Ovis aries: one gene and its partner. The protein of the gene in region 2 interacts with the protein of the main gene of each other region in a biochemical or structural test. Links are inferred from orthologs where the notes say so. Each region holds a gene or a part of one and is shown on either strand. Other genes may lie near its edges.

Region 1 (3,815 bases), on a different chromosome or scaffold from region 2:
ATCCAGACAAAACAGGTAATCAGAAAGACTATTTCTTCCCCACCTCCCTAACCCCAATAACTATGAAGCCAATTTTACGACATGACTCCAAACACTGGATTGTGACGACAAATGCTAGGTCCAATTTCTTCATAATCCTTTTTGGTGTGGCATACTTGGTAGAACTCAGGCTGAAAATAAAAACAGATTTTTGGAAAGGTCAAAAATGTAACACTTTTCGACATGCTTTAAGATAAATATGTTAAATCTAAAACGTTTATCAGTCCATTCATGGTAGCTGAACAAAGCTTTGAAATTCTAGCAACTGTGACTCAAAATCAGCTACAAGTCTATAACCAAAACTGAAAATGAGCATTTGACAAAAGTCTCTTCAATTCCCCTCCTCAACATCTGTTTCTCCTGAAATTTTTCAATTTTGAAAAAACTGAATGGAATGGAAGGTTGAGTCTCAAATGCCCAACTATTCTGTTGTGGCTTTCCCACACTGTACACTGAAACAAGAAAAGCAGCAGCATTCATATAAGTTACAGGTGATATATTCTAGGTCATGCTCCAAAAACTTCTAGATGAACTTGCTTTCCTCACTGAAGGTCTGGTATAGACAGACTGTTCCATAGTCTATCACCTCATTTCTTCAAGGGGAAAGTTACACACTCAACGAGGTGACAGAGACTTCACAAATGAAGACAATTCAAATTAAGGAAGAAAATAACTTTTACCTCTTATTTTTAAATGCTTTTACTGAAATCCAAGGTTGTATAGTTTTCAATAATTCAAATAAATTTCTTACATTTTATTTTATACTGTGTACTACAAGATAAAGCTAAAAAAGTGAAGTCGCTCAGTCGTGTACAACTCTTTGCGACATCACAGACTGTAGCCCACCAGGTTTCTCCGTCCATGGATTTTCCAGGCAAGAATACTGGAATGGGTTGCCATTTCCTTCTCCATGTACTACAGGATAGAACACCACTATTTACTAGGCAAAGGATGTTAACATTTAAAGTATCTTTCAAAGGGACTTTAAGATGTTTTGGTTTGGGAGAGGTAACTTATTAATTCCCTTGACTCAGTTTAGAACATCATACTTCTTATATGGTAACTCTTAATATTTTAAAATATTTGTACAGAAAAAACAATGACCTTCTGATACCTGTATTACTACAGACTTAAGCCTATGCTCTGCAACAAAAGAAGCTACCACAATGAGAAATCTGCACACTGCAATGAAGAACAGCCCCCAGTTGCTAAAACTAGAAAAAGCCCACATGCAGCAATGAAGATTCAGCACAGCCAAAAATACTACATTAAATAAATTTTAAAAAGAAGTGCTCACTCAAAAAATGTCTAGCAAGATCAACAACAACAAAAAAACCACCCCAAAAAACCAGTAAGTCCAAATGAATTCCACTTTTCAAAAATACTATGTTTATGTGTGTCCAATTTTAAAACTTTGCTGTGCAATATTACATAAAAACTTAAGAAATTTCTCTGTTGCTCTAAATTGTTTAAGTTGATAAATTATTTCATCTTTAAAACAAAAAAGTCAAATTTTAAAGTAAGCTTCATCTCACTTACTGTGGAAGCCAGCATAGATCCTCCAAACCAAACTGCGTATCGTTGCATGTGATGTGTAATGACTTGTACATCAATAGGTTTCGGCTGTAAAAGATATAGTAAGATCAGTTCAATGGTAAACTCATATAACAATTCCTGTATTATTTAACCTTAGTTGTACACACTCAAAAATAAATAAACAAACAAAGATGTGGAGGTGGGGGTGTACATAGGGCAAAACAATGTAACAGAAACAAATTAAGCTAATTTTATTATTTGTTTTAAAAAAATATAACCACAGTAAAGGGAAAAGAACTAATCCAGGTAACCCATGAACACAGTATTAGGACTACGCCCTCAGGGTTAAGTTAAAAACTAAGCAAACACTGAACTCTCATTAGTCAGCCTATGTCTCACAGTGGCATGGATCAATAATTCTGAAACTACTATATATGTATTCTAGGACTGAGCAAACAACAAACATAAGGCTGGTTCCTTACCATCAGAGAAGAGCATTACAAATATGGGAAGGTATAAGGCTAGAATGAACCTTACAGTACTCTGGAACTTCTATTATCAGTATGAATCTGTAGTTTTTAGGTTATACAGAGAGCTAGATTTATATGCATACACACACATACTACATCTGACTGCCAACAAGGCCTAGCTGCCCTGACCCCTCAGTAACAACTGAATATATATCTAGTGTCCAAATCTTGGTTTCTTTTAATTGAAGTACAGTTGGTTTACAATATTGTGTTAGTTTCTGGGTGTACAGCAAAGTAATTCATATCTGTATAGATACATAGATAGATTTCAGATTATTTTCCATTAGAGGTTACTATAAGATACTGAATATAATTCCCTGTGCTATACAGTAAAATCCTTGTTGCTTGTCTATTTTATGTATAAGACAAGAAAAGCATTCTCCACTAAAAAGAACAAGGGTGCCTTGAAATAAAATGGCTGATTTCAAGACTGGAGAAGAGAAAGTACAAGATGAACTTGCAATATCTTGCTATTTCAGAAAGTTAGGATGTACCTGCAGAATACTGGGGCGACAACAAAAGGAATAAAAGCCACCTCTGAAGGATTCTTACTAGTCAAATATGAGAAAGTCTGAGCATCAAACTTAATAATAGTACTAATGATATGTTATATCATAATATTAATGATAGCACCTAGAGAATAACTGAGAAATCAGGAATTCAGGGATATTAATGAATGAATAAGGGGGAAAAACATATTCTTTCTTACAGTAAAATGAGACTATGAAACAAAGAAGAAATAATGGAATTTGCAAAATACCATTTGGCAACTACCACAGCAATAACAAAATATGATGCTATAAGCAGTGGCTGAGACTTTGATGAAAAACAAGACAGTTACACATAATCTGAAAGTATCATCCTATAAGATTCTTATTAAATATAAAGGAAAAAACAATAACTTTATAATAGAGACACCTGACACACTTAACCAGGTGATCAAACTTAACATAAAACAAATCATGCATCTGGCAATCCAATGCAGTAAAAAGAATACAACATCCACTTCTGTACTATTACTGCAAAAAATGCATTATCTGAACCTAATCATAAGAAAATATCAGACAAACCCAAACTGAGAAACAGCTTGCAAAATAAATTTCCTGTAGTCTTCAAAAATACTGAAGTTATAAAAGACAAAAAAAAAAAAGACTACTTTTTCCAGACAAGAGGGAAATGAAACCAAATTCAAACATATGATCTTGGACTGAACCCTAGACTAGAAAAAAAATATATATATATATATTTTGGTTTTGATAATTGTAATGGCCTGTTTTTAGGAAATATATACACTAACATTTAGGGGTAACAGGCTATATTTGAAACTCACTCTCAAATAATTCAGGAAGATACATGTGTCTATTTGTATACATGGATATATTTATAAAAATAGAAAAATAAAGCAAATATGTTAAAATTTGGAAATCTAGGAGAAGAATATATAGGAATTCCACTAGAATTTGCCAACAGTTTTACCTTATGAAATTATTTTGGTATAAAAAAAATTTTTTTAATTTATGTATCACAAAAAGATACGGCTTTTTGTTACTAAAAAAACGCTATTTGACTGTCATTTAAATTGGATTGATGGAAAAAAAAGCAAGATTTAAATACAGATATATAAAGACGTTATAAAGATCCATTTTATAACTACTGAGTAAAATAAAAGAGGAGGTGGAGTACTCTAGTATGTATGATTTTTCCTATATT
Region 2 (3,815 bases):
AGACCCCACCCGCTGCAGGGCAGTTAAGCCCGTGCGGCACGAATACCGAGCCTGCGCGCTGCTGCGACTGAAGCCTGAGCGCCGAGAGCCCGCGCTCCCCAACAGGAGATGCTACCGCGACGAGAAGCCCGTGAGCCGCAACCAAGAACAGGCCCTGTTCACCGCAAATAGAGAAAGACTGCACAGAGCAAGAAGGGCGGCCATAAATAAAACAAACACTAAGTCAGCCTGCTTCCTCAACTACAGCAGAGGCGAGATGGGCCACCTCCAAAGAAACAGCATCAACTCAAGTTCCGCTCAAGGCTAAGTGCCTATAAATACTACATAGCTGTTTTACACACAGCAGGCTCCGCCACAGACCCATGAGCAGGGACTCAACCCCGCCTGAGTAGGCCCAGAGCTGCCAAGGACACCTGCGCTGCTCCAGGCGCTTCGGCCTCTGCTCCCCAGCTTCCTGGAGGCGGAGCTATTCTGCAAGGGCATCTGGGGAGAAAGTCTGGCAGAATGAACAGGGTCCAACAGGAGGTCCTGCTGAGCATGTGCACACAGGGCAAAGGCGGACGGGTGTGTTCCCCACACAGGGAGGGGCGGCCCAGCACAGGCAGGCCCTCGGGCAAATGGGAAGCGACACTCTCAGGTTTAGCAGCCCCTCCCTCGGAGAGACGCCCACTCACGGGTGCTGCCAGTGGTGGTTTTGTGAGCTCTGTTTCTACGTTGCCAGTGATTCAAAAACCTGAATGCACAGGCCAGATAAAACACAGCATACAGAAGAACCAGCCAGTCTCCACCTCTGCAGCAGGGGTCGAGACTATGCGTCCAACTCCATACACACGCACCTCAGTGGGCAGAGGGCTATAACTGACCTCCAAGAGGGGGCACCTCGATGAAGGGAGGCTCAGGCTGGCTGCTAAGGACAACCTGGCAGCATCCAGCAAAATGTTAAGTTCAACATCCTTCGACTCAGCAATTCCAATGCTAGAACTTATCTTAAATAATCACTCTTGTACGTAAGACATAAAGACAAGAATATTCACGGTAGGCAATTCTTAACATCCGGAAGTGGAGATACGCTCAACTCCACCTTCCAGAGAGGAACAGTTCAGGGACTACGCCGTCTTCGTACAGCGGAGGACTGTGCGGTCATCGAAACGACGACAAGCCCCCACACCAACCAGGGAAGAGCAGGGCTGTCCAAACACTTCGGGTTAAGAGAGCTGTATAACCAAAACATAAAGCAGCTGGCACGGGGAGAGGGCGCTCCCTGGCTGGTGTCAGTAAACCCATGAGCGACGAGGGGCCGCGGGCGCCCGACAGTCTGTGGGGTGCGCAGCGGCCGCCCGCCCGCCCACCTCTCTGCGACCCGTGCTTCTCCGTCTCGCCCTGGTAGTCGAAGCCCACGGCACTCTTGTCCACGCGGTCGGACTGCACGCCGTACTTGCCACCGAAACCGCTCGAGTAGTCTGGGGAGACAGGGTGGGCAAGATGCCTCTGGTGAAAAGCGGGAGAGAAGCGCCGGGCAGCAGTGCCCCAGGAGACAAAAGTGCCTGTGAGGCAGCACCAGGAGCCACCCGCCATCAGACGGGACGCGCGTGCCGTCTCGTGTCCCTGCAGCCTGGCCCCTTCCGACAGCTGGAGGGCAGAGGTGAGCCACCGGTGCACTCTGGAAAGTAACCATTCAAACAAAGCTCAGCGTATGAAGAAAGGGACATGGCTATGTGGGTCTTTCTAGAAAAGACCGGAGCCCGCCAACACCCTGGGCTGGGTGGACTCCTAGAGCGCTCCCAGGCCGGCTACTTCCCTGGTCATCGGATGCCCTGCAAGAGGCGTAAGCAAACAAGCTCGCAAAAAACACCTCGAGTGCTTTGAGGAAGTGATGTACTTTCATTTCAAAAAAGGCTCACAAGTGAGCGCGAGCTCATGAAGACCAGCCAGCACCGTGTTCAAGACAGCTCGCACACTGTGCAAACATCAGCAACGAAACGGCTCTGGTCACTATCCTAAGGGGAAAGTCTGCTTTGCCGACCTAGCTTAAGAGCGAACTGTGCCCGAGGCAATGCTGCTCAGAGGAGGGAGGCCACGAGGAGACACAAGACGCCAGGCCAGCGCGCCCCCTGACGGGGCCCCGCCACACCACAGAAGCCTGAGGGGAGGGCAGTGTCCCGCCCCTCCGGATGAGGCCGCGAGGGACGACGCGCTCCTGCCCTTCAAAAGCGGGGGGCTTTCTGCACCTTCCCCATCTCACCTTTCTGCGAGGCGTGTTTCTCGGTCTTCCCCTGGTACTCGAAGCCCACGGCAGACTGCAGTCACGGAAAAGAGAAGGTGGAGATCTCAATGGCTGGACCCACAACACGCGACGTTTTAAAGAAACACGAACCACGTTACTGGTACTTTTTGATTTTTTAATTTACTAAGCTACTAATGCCCAAAGCACCAGCATTTTGAATTTGCACACCCTGAAACACTGAAGGCCAGGGGCCGCCCCAGCCAATGAGCGAGGCAGTTCTCAATGCTACGACATAAAGTGAGGGGCTGCCGGCCCTGAGCCAGGGCCTCAGACCAGAGGAACAGCATCAGATGCTCAGCCCAGCCCTGGAGGTGGGTGTGAGGGGGGCCCTCTGTCACTGTGACACAAGCAGGGACAGGGAGTCCCCACCGTCCCCCGGGACACATCGAAGGCCATCTCAGGGCCACTCGATAAGCAGGCACCAACATGGGGGTTTCTATACCGGGAAAACCCTCTCGCCTCTTAAACAGCCAATCATCTCAGAGCATCTGCGAAGGTGGGGGCGGGAGGGGCCTTAGGAGCCTGTGCTCGGGGCCCCCACCTTGCATCCCCACAGTCCGAGGCACCTCCGCGCCACTCCGAGACGCCCAGAGGACACCTGGAGCGACCTCAATCTACAAGGTGGGGCCGGCTGCCCACGACACCTCACTTACCTGGTCCACTCTGTCCACCTGGACGCCGAACTTGCCTCCAAACCCCCGGACGGAGTCAACCTGCGAGCAGTGCTTGGAGAGCTTCGACTGATACTCATGGCCGACGGCTGACTGGAGCAGGGGCAAAGTGGAGCGTCAGTCGCCCACCAGCACCGCCACCCTGGACCCACCCCCACCCTGAGGCAGCCTGCACTTCGGCTCCACATGGAAGCCGGCCCAGGGGTGGTGACTCCAGGGGCATCGCCAAGCCAGGGCCCCCAGTCAGGTGTTCCTGAACCCGCTCCACACCAGGCTCCCCAGAAGTCGCCCAAACCCCAGCCACAGTGGGCCTCCTGAGGTGCCTGGGCATGAAGAACCAGGAGGCCAGGCCCCAGCCAGCACCAGAGCCAGCAGCCTGCCAACGACTCCTGAGACGGCTTCCAGCAGACTGCCGGGAGTGGTCACCCTCCTCAGGTGCGACACTGTCAAAGCATGCGACCCAGGAATCAGGGCTCAAACCGGAACCCAGAGGACATGCGTCAGGCACACCACACGGTGAGTGTCAACGCCTGCCACGCAACCAGCCCGCCCTCGTGTGCAGCGGGGCCTGCCACCGCCTCCCCACCTCGTGTGCAGCGGGGCCTGCCACCGCCTCCCCACCCCCAGTCAGGGAAGCGGGTCTGGTGACCTCTCAAGGCCACATGCTGACCGAGCAGTCCACCCCGAGCTTTCCGGCGTGCGGTCAGCAAGCCGAGGCCTGCGGCCCACATCCAGCACCGAGGTTCTTTGTAAATAAAGCTTTCTGGAACATACCACATCTGTTCATTTACAGAAAATCTATGCCTAGCTTTGTGTTAAGACAATACAGCTAGTTCAGGAGCCACCCGAGACCCTGTGGC

Evidence for each region.
Region 1: the proteins of CTTN (region 2) and ACTR3 form a complex in vitro, tested with the Homo sapiens proteins (3 studies listed by BioGRID). The link is inferred for Ovis aries from reciprocal best matches to the Homo sapiens genes CTTN and ACTR3.

The regions. Positions count from the first base shown.
Region 1 is NC_056055.1:179,038,464-179,042,278, reverse strand, and holds part of ACTR3 (actin-related protein 3), read right to left. Parts: intron 1,663-3,815; coding exon 1,579-1,662; intron 171-1,578; coding exon 75-170; 3' UTR 1-74. UniProt on the Homo sapiens protein: ATP-binding component of the Arp2/3 complex, a multiprotein complex that mediates actin polymerization upon stimulation by nucleation-promoting factor (NPF).
Region 2 is NC_056074.1:43,921,625-43,925,439, reverse strand, and holds part of CTTN (src substrate cortactin), read right to left. Parts: intron 3,049-3,815; coding exon 2,938-3,048; intron 2,298-2,937; coding exon 2,243-2,297; intron 1,461-2,242; coding exon 1,350-1,460; intron 1-1,349.